Linked DNA regions of Saccharomyces cerevisiae S288C. Changing the gene in region 1 together with any one later gene gives a genetic interaction. Each region holds a gene or a part of one and is shown in the gene's direction. Other genes may lie near its edges.

Evidence for each region.
Region 2: mutations in IMP21 (region 1) and FRA1 together harm fitness more than expected from each alone (negative genetic interaction), as found in Saccharomyces cerevisiae (2 studies listed by BioGRID).
Region 3: mutations in IMP21 (region 1) and ABD1 together harm fitness more than expected from each alone (negative genetic interaction), as found in Saccharomyces cerevisiae (2 studies listed by BioGRID).
Region 4: mutations in IMP21 (region 1) and PRI2 together harm fitness more than expected from each alone (negative genetic interaction), as found in Saccharomyces cerevisiae (2 studies listed by BioGRID).

Annotation. Positions count from the first base shown.
Region 1 is NC_001141.2:53,481-56,863, reverse strand, and holds IMP21 (Imp21p), read left to right. Parts: upstream 1-1,842; coding exon 1,843-2,883; downstream 2,884-3,383. Other genes in the region: VPR1 (Vpr1p), read right to left, coding at 1-319; peptidylprolyl isomerase RRD1, read right to left, coding at 485-1,666; GUT2 (glycerol-3-phosphate dehydrogenase), read left to right, coding at 3,156-3,383. UniProt on the Saccharomyces cerevisiae protein: Controls the nucleo-mitochondrial dependence of galactose, maltose and raffinose utilization. Becomes essential in the absence of functioning mitochondria.
Region 2 is NC_001144.5:79,479-84,219, forward strand, and holds FRA1 (aminopeptidase P), read left to right. Parts: upstream 1-1,982; coding exon 1,983-4,232; downstream 4,233-4,741. Other genes in the region: mannose-ethanolamine phosphotransferase GPI13, read right to left, coding at 1-727; RRT7 (Rrt7p), read right to left, coding at 878-1,219. UniProt on the Saccharomyces cerevisiae protein: Involved in the regulation of the iron regulon in responss to decreased mitochondrial iron-sulfur cluster synthesis.
Region 3 is NC_001134.8:689,875-693,267, reverse strand, and holds ABD1 (mRNA (guanine-N7)-methyltransferase), read left to right. Parts: upstream 1-1,574; coding exon 1,575-2,885; downstream 2,886-3,393. Other genes in the region: DEAD-box RNA helicase PRP5, read right to left, coding at 1-1,299; VHC1 (Vhc1p), read right to left, coding at 3,005-3,393. UniProt on the Saccharomyces cerevisiae protein: Responsible for methylating the 5'-cap structure of mRNAs.
Region 4 is NC_001143.9:351,826-355,613, forward strand, and holds PRI2 (DNA primase subunit PRI2), read left to right. Parts: upstream 1-1,667; coding exon 1,668-3,254; downstream 3,255-3,788. Other genes in the region: DCW1 (putative mannan endo-1,6-alpha-mannosidase), read right to left, coding at 1-799. UniProt on the Saccharomyces cerevisiae protein: DNA primase is the polymerase that synthesizes small RNA primers for the Okazaki fragments made during discontinuous DNA replication. In a complex with DNA polymerase alpha (DNA polymerase alpha:primase) constitutes a replicative polymerase.

The DNA of each region.
Region 1 (3,383 bases):
GAACCAACTGTCGCAGGGGAGGCGTAGAGTTTTGTGATCGGATATTCTGGCGCTGCTGCTGCTGCTGCTGCTGCTTATGATGTTCTTGTTTCAGAACTAGCAATGAAATGGGCATATGATTACCGTCATGTTGCACGTTCGGTTGCACACTTGATTTCGATAGTATTTCTGAGAAACTGTTGGTGCTTTGTTGTTTTAAAGGGTGATGAGGTCGCCTGGTTGGAGACCAGGATATAGAGCTTAGGGACTGCCCCGGGGGGTGTTGTTGTTGCTGCTTCTGATCCTGATATATTACCAGGCCCCTTCTCTTGTGACTCATTTGCTTACACTGTGGCGACTTTTTCCACTTCTTTGTTTATTTGTATTACCGCTTCCTTTTCCTTTTTTCATCTGATTATATGCTTATATATTGTAGACGCAAGTAAAAAAGAACGAAAATAGAAGTCATAATGCTTGTCATACACATTTATATGTTTAATTAATATTATCTACGTAGTCTATCTCTTGAAAAAGAAGTCTGGTTCCGGTGCGACTGGTTTTGATGGCTTAGTAAATAGTTGATATTGTTACCTGACGGCGGAACGCCTGGGGGAGGCATTGACGTGGACGTTGGGAATCGTGTTGAAGTCTGTTCTCGACCGGGCGATCCTGCGTTAGCCTGTTCTATACTCTCTTCCTCCTTTTCTTCAAAGACTGGAAGATCAGTGCCGTTTTGAATGTTGACCCAGGGAAAGAAGCCTGTGCCGAACCAGAAATGTTGCACCACGGGGAACTTCTTCAGAACCTCTACAGAATACATTTTTAGAAGCCCCTTACACACTTTGGACCAGCGTGGAACGGTGACGGCAATATCGTATAGGATGGGGGAATGCTCTTCAAAGGGCCCCATTTTCACCTCATTAATAAAGTTTATGCCTTGGCAGTAGAAGTTGGTGTCCTTATACTCGCGCACCAGAGACTTATCCAGTATTTCTCTTGGTTGCAAGGGTGCTTGCGCATCAAGCAGCTGCCATTGAGACGAGCCCAAGATGTACACCAAGTGGAAATGGTCATCAAGCCCCCACACGCCATGTGACCCAGCGGGCTCCAGCGTATACGTCAGGATCAGCCTCCTCATGATCGTGTAGTACTTGTTGAACAGCAGAAAAACGTCTGCCCCCCTCATGTGCGGAAACATCCCCAGCATGTCCAGTGCTGCGACCGTGGCCATGAACGAAAGTTCGTGGCCCGTGCCGTAGTCCAATCTTGTCGACGAACCAAAGCTGTTGCCCAGGTAATACTGCAATTCAGGCACCACCTCATGGTATTCCGAGGGAAGCATTTCCTGCAGCCACTGAGGCAAACGTTCATCCAGCTTGTGATGCCACTCGCGGCATGCTAGGTTACCATACCTTCTAGGACCTGGAAGAGGCGGTGTCTCGTCGATCAGGTGTGCCAGCTTGTCCAACACTCCCATCAGCCCGTTAACCATGGCGATCGACGACGCAGTAGCGTGCGGGTCGGGGTCAGAACAGTGCGATATCAACGTAGTGTACTTGTGAAGATGATACTTGATTCTGTGAATGGCTAGTGACGATTGGAAGTCCAGCGTTGTCTGCGTATCGAAGATACGCTTCACCGGCGTAGAGAAGGTGGCGTGCGGCCAATCTACACGATCCAGAGACATTTCTTTGCTCGTTTAATGCTTGTTCATATGTGCGTTCTTTTGCACTTTGCACTTTCTTCCTATTTTATCTTTTTAAGAAAGCTTTAAAGGTCCGGAAAAAAGGCTTGATCAAACACAAGAGACTATGGAAAGGGTGAGTACCAAAAGAACCAACAAGAGAAACAACCAAGTACGCAATGCAGAAGAGCATATTGCTGACTAAACCTGACGGAACACAATCGAATCTACACAGCATCAAAACGGAAACGCCCACCACGGTGGAGTTCGACTCGGAGCAGATGGAAAGGGGCCACAGGGAAAGAGGTCGTAGCAAGAAGAAAAGAGGCGAACGAGACTCAAACGTGAGCAGTCTGTCGCGGTCGAGAAGCAGGGCCAGTAGCCGCAGCAGAGTAAGGGAGGAAGAGTTCCTCAAGTGGACCGTGTTGAGGCAGGACCCCTCGATGCGGTTGAGGGTCGTGGATGTGGATTCTGAAGAGGAAGGTGAGGGCAACGACGAAGATGACGACGACGGCGACGGCGACGATATGGACGAGGAAGAGTCCGATGAAGAGCAAGTGAGCGATATAGAGAACGATTTAGAGATTGACGAGGAGTTCCACTACGATCTGGGCATGAAAGTGTTACCCAACTTTTGTACCAGCATAAACGAAGTGCTAGACTCCAGCAAGCCCTGGATAGCCAAGTACGAGATCAGCATCCGTGGCCACGAAAACGAAGACGTGTCTCTGGAGCAACTCGACGGAGGCTACGTCAGAGCCATGCAACTACTCACCAAGGGTGCCGGCGCAGAGGCCGGGAACCAAAGGTCCTTCATCCTCTACACGGACCTGAGCAGCGAGTCCACCTACGCCCTGACCTATCTCATGGGCGCAGCTGTCAACCAGGGAGACACCGTCTACATTGTCCACTGGGAGCCCTCGAAGCCCACGGACGACTCCCAGATGTTCGCCAACGTTGCCAGAATCAGAAAGCACGTCATGCACCTGTTTGACTGCGTCGCGGGCGTGCTCGACGACCTCGACGTCGTCGTCCTCTCCTTGACCCATCCGTACCCAAAACACCTCCTCAACGAGATGATCCACGGCCTCAAGCCAGTCGCCCTGTGCTGCTCCCTCTCGGTCATCCTGTCCACTCTGCAGAACTTCGTCTGCTCTGTGCCCATCCTCGCGGTTAGAAAGAAGCTGAAACGTGCCAAGCGCAAGGGCATCAGCGAGTGACCAATAATCACTGCACTAATTCCTTTTTAGCAACACATACTTATATACAGCAACAGACCTTATGTCTTTTCTCTGCTCCGATACGTTATCCACCCAACTTTATTTCAGTTTTGGCAGGGGAAATTTCACAACCCCGCACGCTAAAAATCGTATTTAAACTTAAAAGAGAACAGCCACAAATAGGGAACTTTGGTCTAAAGCAAGGACTCTCCCTCCCTTATCTTGACCGTGCTATTGCCATCACTGCTACAAGACTAAATACGTACTAATATATGTTTTCGGTAACGAGAAGAAGAGCTGCCGGTGCAGCTGCTGCCATGGCCACAGCCACGGGGACGCTGTACTGGATGACTAGCCAAGGTGATAGGCCGTTAGTGCACAATGACCCGAGCTACATGGTGCAATTCCCCACCGCCGCTCCACCGCAGGTCTCTAGACGAGACCTGCTGGACCGTCTGGCCAAGACGCATCAATTCGACGTGTTGATCATCGGTGGCGGG
Region 2 (4,741 bases), on another chromosome or scaffold:
GTCCAATCATGACGTCCCATTCCTTGTCCTGCTGTAAATGATCATGGAAGTAATCCATAACACCGTTATCGACAGTATCTAAGTCCCACACATTGAGTGATTCTAGTGGGAAACTATCGTTGGAAAGGAACGGATGGAACAGAGCCATCCATGTATCATCTCCGGCAAATTTGACAGTCTTATTTGCCAAATGGAGCTGTTTAAGAAAGTTATCCTCTTCGATTACTGTTCCATCGAAGTTAGACCCGGCATCAATGAAAGTCGGTAAGGACCCTGTTGTGAGACCCTTGAGTCTTTGTAAAGTAGTGGTTGGTGGGTCGGCAATGAACTTCAACAATAGGGAAGATGCATCCTTATCGCTTGCAAAAGAATCATACAATGATAATATATTATTATGATAGTTCAAGTTGTAATTAGAGTGGGATTCGTTTACAGGAATAGCGAAATCAAATCTCAAAGCGTCAATAACCAAAATCACCGCCTTGTTGAACCTAGGAGGTAACTTACTCGTTTCGTTTTGTGAGGAAATATTATCAAGAACGTGTCTTGACAGTAAGAATCCCCGAGTGAAAAAAGCTATTGATATGAATTGTAAAATGGCGATGAAAACCAATAGAATAATATAAAATTTATGATTCTTTTGAAATTTCTTTATTCGCGATTTGTATATTATTTTTTCATCATTGGAAGATGAAAGAATCGACTTTTTAATTGTCTTTTCATCCATATTACGGGAGCTTTTTTTTTCCACTTAATGTATTGATCTTCCTCCCGTTCTTTGACGATTCGGCGTTGCCCTTAAAACATATGCTTCTATTCCTTTTTTGATCTTACCCATTTATTTGTTTTTTTTTATTTTCCGGTGGACAACAAAATGTTAAAGGAAAAAAGAAAGTACCTTGCTCGTCATCGCGCTTGCATAATGTGCGCCATTACCCTGTAACAAAAACAAAAGATAGAGTGGCAACAACTTGACACAACTTTGCAATTGTACCATGAACCCCAACAAGAAAGGCGGTTGAGAGTAAATGATGTGGTTTGGTTCCTTTTTTTTCCTACATTTAAGGTTCATAGAGAAGAAAATTTTCTGAAATGTCTTTTCCTCTTTTAATGAATTGTAAAAAAGCCAGTATTGGAATAATATTCTATTCAATATAGTAAGAAAAGAGGCAATGGGCAGAAATCTTCTCCCGCATAATCCTTTAAATGCAAAATACATGTTAGGCGTCTAAATTTTTTTCAGTGAATCCAGATGCAGAAACATTTAAACAATAAATATCTTAAACCCATTTTGAAGCATCGGCGGCTAAAAAAATGATTTTGCATGGAAAAAAATGAGAGCTGTGAACCCAATAAAAAAGACAGCTTTTTAAAAATGTATAACGGTACATTAAGCTCTTGTTTATTCCTCAAACTGCTCCTAAAAACCATCCTCTCAAAAATAATAATGATAGCTGAAGATTATCTGCCACGAAATGCCATTGAGCCGCTTACTTGTAGGTTTTCATGAGTAATAACGAAGATAATTTACCCGTCTTTATAACCCACGTAAAAATAAACATATAATTATTTCTTATTATTTCAACTAACCGTTAAAGTGTTCAAATATGGTAGAAAGCTTTCCCTATGTGCATTATGATTATCTTTTAGCCGCCAGAGTTTAGTTTAATTTTGTTTTGTTTTTGACGACTTCTGGTGTTACCCGAAGGTATATCCCCGGGTGACCCCTAAAAATCGCACCCCATTTTCCCGAATTTTCTTCTACGTTTTCTTTTTTCAGAAATACTTCGAATGAGGGATGGAACAAGAAGGAAGCGACATACAAAAACTGAGTCAGTTTAGTCTTAATAGGTGCAATATTTACAAATACAGGAAAGGCAGGAAGCACTGGCAAAAAGACTGCATAGCTAAAAAAAAAAAGAATAAAAAAAAAACGGAGACCTCAACAGAGCGAAACCAATAATTACAAACAAAATCTTCATATGACTTCGAAACCATCCACCAGTGACGGCAGGGCTCACTCGATTTCCCATGTACCTGGCACGCACATGAGAGGAACATCGGCATCACACAGCCCCAGACCGTTTAGGCCATGTGCGGATTGTACGTGTTCTCCAGGCTTACTGTCTAGGCAAGGTCGTAGAGCCTCTCTATTTTTAAGACAGTTAGAAAATTCAAGGAGGTCCTCCAGCATGCTTCTCAACGAGTTGAAGGGCGCTGGCGGAGGTAGCAGTGCTGGAAATGGGTCTGTTTACTCATGTGACTCTCTATGCGCTGTTAACAGGGAAGTTAACACTACTGATAGATTGTTGAAGTTGCGTCAGGAGATGAAGAAACACGATTTGTGTTGTTATATTGTGCCCAGTTGTGACGAACATCAGTCCGAATATGTATCATTGCGAGATCAAAGGCGCGCCTTCATTTCAGGGTTTTCCGGATCGGCCGGTGTAGCCTGTATCACCAGAGACTTGTTAAATTTCAACGATGACCATCCGGATGGGAAATCCATTTTGAGTACTGATGGAAGATATTTCAATCAAGCTAGACAAGAACTAGATTATAATTGGACACTTTTGAGGCAAAACGAAGACCCAATCACTTGGCAAGAATGGTGTGTCAGAGAAGCTTTGGAAATGGCCAAGGGACTTGGCAATAAAGAGGGAATGGTGTTGAAGATAGGTATTGACCCAAAACTTATCACTTTCAACGACTATGTTTCTTTTAGAAAAATGATTGACACTAAATATGACGCAAAGGGTAAAGTGGAGCTGGTTCCCGTGGAGGAAAACTTAGTTGACAGTATTTGGCCTGATTTTGAAACTCTACCTGAAAGGCCTTGTAACGATTTACTACTGTTAAAATACGAGTTTCATGGTGAAGAATTCAAAGACAAGAAGGAAAAGTTACTGAAAAAGCTGAATGATAAGGCTTCCTCTGCGACGACCGGTAGGAATACTTTCATAGTAGTTGCGTTGGATGAAATTTGTTGGTTGTTGAACTTGCGTGGATCCGACATTGACTATAATCCAGTTTTTTTCTCCTACGTGGCTATTAACGAAGACGAAACCATTCTTTTCACCAATAACCCCTTCAATGATGACATATCGGAATATTTTAAGATAAACGGTATTGAAGTCAGACCTTACGAACAGATATGGGAACATTTAACAAAGATAACTTCGCAGGCTTCTTCTGCGGAGCATGAATTTTTGATTCCTGATAGTGCATCGTGGCAGATGGTTCGTTGTTTGAACACCTCAACCAACGCTAACGGTGCAATAGCTAAAAAAATGACTGCACAAAACTTTGCGATAATTCACTCACCCATCGATGTTTTGAAATCTATCAAGAATGACATCGAAATAAAAAACGCACACAAGGCGCAGGTCAAAGACGCAGTATGTTTAGTGCAGTATTTTGCATGGCTGGAGCAGCAATTAGTGGGGCGCGAGGCACTGATAGATGAATATCGTGCCGCAGAAAAATTGACCGAGATTAGGAAAACCCAAAGGAACTTCATGGGCAATTCCTTCGAAACAATATCCTCCACAGGTAGTAACGCCGCCATCATACATTATTCGCCGCCCGTAGAGAACTCTTCGATGATTGATCCTACCAAGATATATCTTTGCGACTCCGGTTCGCAATTCTTGGAGGGTACAACTGATATAACAAGAACAATTCACTTAACAAAGCCAACCAAAGAAGAAATGGATAATTACACACTGGTACTTAAAGGTGGCTTAGCCCTAGAGAGGTTGATTTTTCCCGAAAACACTCCCGGGTTTAATATCGACGCCATCGCTAGGCAGTTTTTATGGTCCCGCGGGTTAGATTACAAACATGGCACAGGCCATGGTATCGGATCATTTTTAAACGTTCACGAAGGACCCATGGGTGTCGGCTTTAGGCCACATCTGATGAATTTCCCCTTAAGAGCGGGTAACATAATAAGTAACGAACCAGGTTATTATAAGGATGGTGAGTATGGTATCAGGATTGAAAGCGACATGTTAATCAAGAAGGCCACTGAGAAGGGTAACTTCTTGAAATTCGAAAACATGACTGTGGTTCCCTATTGCAGGAAGTTGATCAATACTAAGTTACTAAACGAAGAAGAAAAAACACAGATTAACGAGTACCACGCAAGGGTATGGAGGACAATAGTGCATTTTCTGCAGCCTCAGAGTATTTCATACAAGTGGCTGAAAAGAGAAACAAGCCCACTATGACTTCGAGGCGAGCGGGGCGCAATACAATTAATGTTAGTATTTATTCTAAGTAGTTTCTTTCTTTTTATTTAATTTGAGTGATAACAATAACAACAATAATGACTAAAAGGTGAAAATTGAAAACATTACCTTCATTTTTTTACGGCCGGAGAGGGGTAGGTACACTTAACCCCGAGCGCTTTTAGTGCCAAAAAGAGTTAATGTGCGTAGTCGGATTTTAAACGACCATGCATGTACAGCCCCCTAGTGATTTATACTGATGCCTCATCAAGAAATTTTTTCATCCAGGGTCCCTGCTCGGCGAACCTTTCCGCAAGAGTCACAAAAATCAATCTTATAACCAGGCACCAGTAGTACTGCCAAGCTTGGACTACATAGCCAACGTAAAGACAAGGAGTCTGATTTAGTATTTCTTTTTTGCCAGCCAGTATTTTCTGCGCAGGATAGATTATTTTAAGAGCCGAGAATTCCTTATGCGGGCCCGGTCACAACGGATTATAGGTTCCGCC
Region 3 (3,393 bases), on another chromosome or scaffold:
CATGATTTGCGTTATTTGAGGTTCAAAACCTAAATCGAACAGCCTGTCTGCCTCATCCATTACTACGAACGTTATTCTTTTAGTACTAAGTAATTTCCCATCATTTAGTGTTAATATATCAATAAATCGTCCCGGTGTGGCAACAACAATCTCAGTGCCTCTTTTAAGATCAGTAATCTGCTTTTTCATTTCAGAACCTCCTGTACAGCATACTGATCTAATGGATGTATCTGCTTCTGTGAATTTAGTAACTTCTTCATGTATTTGTAAAGCTAGCTCTCTAGTTGGAGCCAGAATTAAACCCATGGGCCCTGTTTCATGTTTTGATAATGGCCGTTGAGCTTTTACTTGTCTTAGCAATGGTAAAAGATAGGAGATGGTCTTGCCGGAGCCAGTTTTTGATATTCCTATAACATCACGACCTGACATAATAGCGGGAAGAGCCTGGGATTGAATAGGCGTTAAGGAGCCAAAGTGCAACTTTTCTGTAATTAAAACCATGGTGTCCGTTGATAGTCCCAGTTGAGACCACTTTGTGACTGGTTTGGGGCAACCTGTTCCCTTTATTTTGATATTATCCAGACTAAGTCTAAGCTCCTCAACTTCCATCTCTGACATCGAGGAAACTGTTTCAGATTCTATATAAAAATTTTTTTGGAACGGCTCAAGCTCTTCTGGAGAGTAATAAATTTGCTTTACACGTTTTTTTGCTTTGAGTTTAGCAATTTTCGCTATATTAGAATTATCCGTATTATCTTCAACATCCTCATCGTCGGTTCCTCCAAGTTCAAACAATTGATCCTCTACATCAAGAATGTCGCCTCTGTCGTACATGCCTTTACTATTACTCATTTTCTCCTCCTTCAATGACGTCATAAACTCATCCAGTGGATCTTTTTCATTATCATGCTCTGGAGCTTTTTGAATGTGCTCCTTCGATCTAAAAGAAACTCCTATTTCAGAATCATCGTCATCACTGAAGTCGAAGGATATTTTCTTCTTTACCTTACTTCTCTTCGACTTTTTCTTCGAAGGCTTAACCGATACAGGTTCGTCAGATTTCCTAAATTCATTTTTTCTCTTCCGAAGCTCTTCTTTTACACGTTCCTGTCTTTCCGTAAACTTTTCAGTAGTCTGCTTACCTTCTAAACTGTTAGTAACAATGTCATTGCGTGAAGTTTGATGCTCTTTCTGAGCATCAAATTGTGCTTTTTTTTGTTTCCATTTTGCTAGTTTTTTCCTCCTTTCCTCCAATAAAGACTCCCTATTAATATTTTGCTTCGAATCAATAGTTTCCATACCTCAAATAAACCCAAGGCAACAGCGTTATGATTTCCCTTCTCGAATTATTTGGCGCTGTATTATATTAGAAAGAACTCTAATACCTTTAGTTTGGTCCATTGCTCTAAATGACTTTAATTAGTTTCATCTAATCCGGGTAATGGTAAATCAAGATATTTCAACATAAATTAGAAGATTTCTTATTTTAATCCTTTACATGTGAGACACTTTTCCGATTAATGTGACAACTACTACAACGTGGAGTCGTCCATTATCCGTCTTAGAAAAGTAGAATGTCAACCAAACCAGAGAAGCCAATATGGATGTCACAAGAAGACTATGACCGTCAGTACGGCTCAATTACTGGTGATGAATCGTCCACAGTCTCAAAAAAAGACTCCAAAGTTACTGCCAATGCGCCTGGTGATGGTAATGGATCATTACCAGTTTTGCAAAGCAGCTCTATCCTTACTTCTAAGGTGTCTGATCTACCCATTGAGGCAGAATCCGGGTTTAAAATCCAAAAGAGAAGACATGAAAGGTATGATCAAGAGGAAAGATTACGCAAACAGCGTGCTCAAAAATTGAGAGAAGAGCAACTAAAGAGACATGAAATAGAGATGACTGCAAATAGATCCATAAATGTTGACCAGATTGTCCGAGAGCACTATAATGAACGTACAATAATCGCCAATCGCGCTAAGAGGAATCTATCGCCTATTATTAAGCTTCGTAATTTTAACAATGCGATTAAGTATATGTTAATTGACAAATATACAAAACCTGGAGATGTCGTTTTAGAACTCGGATGTGGCAAAGGTGGTGATTTAAGAAAATATGGTGCTGCAGGTATTTCACAGTTTATTGGTATTGACATTTCCAATGCCTCTATCCAAGAAGCTCATAAGAGATACCGGTCCATGAGAAATTTGGACTACCAAGTTGTGCTAATTACTGGGGATTGCTTTGGCGAATCATTAGGTGTTGCAGTAGAGCCCTTCCCAGACTGTAGATTTCCGTGTGATATCGTTTCGACGCAATTTTGCTTGCATTATGCTTTTGAGACCGAAGAAAAAGCAAGGAGAGCTTTACTGAATGTCGCCAAATCACTCAAAATTGGTGGTCACTTTTTTGGCACGATACCAGATTCAGAATTCATTCGTTATAAACTGAATAAATTTCCCAAAGAAGTGGAAAAGCCATCTTGGGGAAACTCCATTTATAAAGTGACATTTGAGAATAATTCATACCAAAAGAATGATTATGAGTTCACATCGCCTTATGGTCAAATGTATACTTATTGGCTAGAAGATGCTATAGATAATGTTCCTGAATATGTTGTGCCATTCGAAACCTTAAGAAGTTTGGCTGATGAATACGGTTTGGAACTAGTATCGCAAATGCCTTTTAATAAATTTTTTGTCCAAGAAATTCCCAAATGGATTGAGAGGTTTTCGCCTAAAATGAGGGAAGGTTTACAAAGATCTGATGGTAGATATGGTGTTGAAGGGGATGAAAAGGAAGCGGCATCATATTTCTATACCATGTTTGCATTCCGTAAGGTAAAACAGTATATCGAACCGGAAAGCGTAAAGCCCAACTGAAATAAAAATGAATAGAAACAATAACCCTACTATAAAGCATCTGTATTTCGGCCGTATTACAAGACTTCTATATGTAGTAAATAAGTTCTGGGGAAATGCATAACGATATATGTGTTATTCTATAATGCAGTAGTTACTGTCATGGTTTGCGAATTGATTAACATGCATGGAGGTAAGCCCTCCAACCAAATATCCAAGTCCTCGACATATTGTAAACTTGCATCGTGATCTTCATGTGTTCCAAGAGCTGGAACTGGCAAGGTTGAAAAAATTAAATCCGAACTCTTTGACATTTGTGTCATCACATCATTCAGAACCAAATGTTGAGCAGTGCTGGGAAGATCATTGAAACCTAAATTTTGCATCGCTGTGACTAAACTATCTTTTGAACAACAAGGTGATAATTCGGGAAGAACCGGTTTCTTTAATTTGTTGCCGTTGCCAATACCGCTCCCAGTACCGTTCCCATTCGAAAGGTCAGGTTCGGCAATTGGGATCAGTGTCGGCT
Region 4 (3,788 bases), on another chromosome or scaffold:
TAAAGTTGTAAAGGTAGGCAGAGCCAGCCAACAGCAAACCTTGATTATATGTCCATTGATATGAGGTCACTTTGGTGCAATTATCATCAATGCTGACACCATCGTAAACATACTTATAGGTACCATTAGAAATTAAGTTCACACCGACCATCCACTCGTAAACTTTTTCGGCCCAGTCAACATATGTTTGATTACCTGTATATCTTGCTAATCTTGCAGCTATGTGAAACAAGGCACCGTTAGAAACGGTGTTCTTGTAATCGTAACCAGAGTTCCAAACGAAAATTTGCCACCTCAAACCACCACCACAGGAATCGGCATCCCAACGCAAAGCCATGGTATTGAAAACAGCCTGTGCTAAATATAGCCATTGAGGCTCATTCTCGGGAGGATTAGTAAAGTTTCTCTCCGCGGCAGTCATAGCAGCAATACCCCAAAAGGCTTGGTCATCATTACCTTCAGTGGTAGATTGATTTAGCGGAATATAGTCATTATCATCACCAGCTTGATGTATCATTGCTGCTATAATTTCATCATTATAGGTGTCGTTATCCATGAAAAACCAGTAATCTAGCATACAGCCCCAGGCACCACCGGCTTCCCACCAATAGTACGGATCTGAAAACATACCGACCGTCTTACCATACTGATTACCAGTGTAATAATCCATTAAACCGTAGGCAATTAGTGAAGTAGCATTTTGCAAAGATTCGTAGTTGTCTAGATCCAATTCGACGGCATTTGTAAATCTTGTTGCGAAGAGTACACCCAGTAACCCTATCACTTTATTTACTAGCATTTTTATGTGTTCGTTTTTAAAACAGACTGAAAAGAAAGAAAGCTCAGAAAAAAAGTGGTGTGTATTTTGTTGTATCCACTATTATATGTCCTGGAAAGGTTTCCCTAGCGTTTTGACCCTTTCGTATCTTGTAATTTAAGCCTCTTTTTACCAAAAATCCTCCCGTTCGCACACCTATTAAGCTGCTTATAAAATATGAGTATCAACACAGTAACAGTGAATATATAATAGATGAGCCCATTATACAAAGAGTACCTATGATCATCATGAAATCCGAGCTTTATTTCCATCTGCCAGTTTTCTTTCTGGATGTACGAAATTAAATCGCGCCTCGAACGGGTGCAAAACCGGGTGACGGGACACCGCTACGAATATAGTACGATACACTTATACATATATGGAAGCATTTATAGCGTATATTCATCGTACGGTACATTCTTTAAATAAATGATTGAATTTTTCTGAACCAACAGTTATAAGCTGAGATCCAGTGCGTTCATGAAACGGAACATCTTACATCATCAAGAGCCCAGAAGCACGGCGTAGGATTGTTTCCGCTGCTACAGACAGACATGGAAACACTGTTTTTATCAGGCCAAAGGTGATACGACAGGTCTCTTCTTGTTTCAATATTGCCTTACATATCTGCTGCTCACTCTATTTGCTTTTTCCTGCTCATTTATAGTTAACTTGATTTGAAATTACGCGTCGCGGGGAATCGCGTAAAACTCGATATTAAATCCTGTGATTTTGCAAAAGTAAATTTTTTACTATCTACATCTCTCCAATTTGCACAACTTTGACAGGACTGATAACTACCCAGGTGGAGCAACCAGTGACAGCAGGTAAAGCACAATAAGGAGAAGAAATGTTCAGGCAGTCAAAAAGAAGAATTGCCTCAAGGAAGAATTTTAGTTCATACGATGATATTGTCAAAAGCGAATTGGACGTAGGCAACACAAATGCAGCTAACCAGATCATCTTAAGTTCAAGTTCATCTGAAGAAGAGAAAAAACTTTACGCTAGGCTGTATGAGTCTAAATTATCATTTTACGATTTACCACCACAGGGAGAAATAACGTTGGAACAATTTGAGATCTGGGCAATCGATCGTCTCAAAATTCTGTTAGAGATCGAATCTTGCCTTTCAAGAAACAAATCGATCAAAGAAATTGAAACCATTATCAAGCCGCAGTTCCAAAAACTACTGCCTTTCAACACAGAGAGTTTAGAAGACAGAAAAAAGGATTACTACTCTCATTTCATTTTAAGATTGTGCTTTTGTCGTTCAAAAGAACTGCGGGAAAAATTCGTCAGGGCTGAAACGTTTTTGTTCAAAATTAGATTTAACATGCTAACCTCCACCGATCAAACAAAATTTGTTCAATCATTGGACTTACCCTTACTACAGTTTATCTCAAATGAAGAAAAGGCCGAATTATCTCATCAGTTGTATCAAACAGTTTCTGCGTCTCTACAGTTCCAATTGAATTTAAACGAGGAACATCAAAGAAAACAGTATTTCCAACAGGAAAAATTCATAAAATTACCTTTCGAAAATGTGATAGAACTGGTAGGAAACCGTTTAGTGTTTTTGAAGGACGGGTACGCATATTTACCACAATTCCAGCAATTGAATTTACTTTCTAATGAGTTTGCTAGCAAATTGAACCAGGAGTTAATAAAAACGTACCAGTACTTACCAAGACTGAATGAGGATGACCGGTTGTTACCAATTCTAAATCATCTTTCGTCGGGGTACACTATCGCGGATTTCAACCAGCAAAAGGCAAACCAATTCAGTGAGAACGTAGATGATGAGATTAATGCGCAAAGTGTCTGGTCTGAAGAGATTAGCTCAAACTATCCGCTATGTATCAAAAACCTGATGGAGGGTCTTAAAAAGAACCATCATTTGAGGTATTATGGGAGACAACAACTGAGTCTGTTTTTGAAAGGTATCGGCCTGAGCGCTGATGAAGCGTTAAAATTTTGGTCTGAGGCATTTACAAGAAATGGGAACATGACAATGGAGAAGTTCAATAAAGAATACCGTTACAGCTTCAGGCATAATTACGGTCTTGAAGGTAACAGAATCAACTACAAACCATGGGACTGTCACACTATCCTTTCCAAGCCCAGACCTGGGCGCGGAGATTATCATGGATGCCCTTTCCGTGATTGGAGTCACGAGAGACTATCTGCAGAATTGCGCTCTATGAAGTTGACCCAAGCGCAGATCATCAGTGTTCTGGATTCCTGCCAGAAAGGTGAATACACAATTGCTTGCACTAAAGTGTTTGAAATGACACACAACTCTGCATCAGCGGATTTGGAAATTGGCGAGCAAACGCATATCGCGCATCCTAACCTATACTTCGAAAGATCAAGGCAACTGCAAAAGAAACAGCAGAAGCTGGAAAAGGAAAAACTATTCAATAATGGTAATCATTAGTGCAGAAAGGGAAAAGGAAAAAAGCGAAGAGATAACTAAAAAGGATTAATAGTATACGTAATTTAGTCTACTGTAAGTATGGTCAAAAATTTTCTTTAGTGAGAAAAAAAAAAAAAAAGAGAAACGATAAACGCTGTACAATACCAGTGACTGCACTGCTCCGAAAACGTCCGAGATATGTATATTGTCCGAATTTTTTCATACTTTAATAGCTGGCCAGAGAAACCTTATAATTTTGTGGCTGCAAGCTATCGCGCTGTTCCTCTGTGACAGGCAACACAGAACAACTAACCGCCTGTCTTTTATGCCTGTACACTTCATTAAAATTTACCGTTTTCTTCCATTACAAGCGGGGACACTTTCCGTTTAAACCTGCAATATGTTGCAGGGCCTATCCACGCCAATTTACTGTGGCAGAAGTTACTGCAGTGGAAGAACTACCTTTTCCAGCATAGCCTCCGCCACCAAAAAATGCAGGTGCTGCGTTTTCTGGATACGTGGCTGGCCTTTAAAACGCATGGGAGGGACAGTATC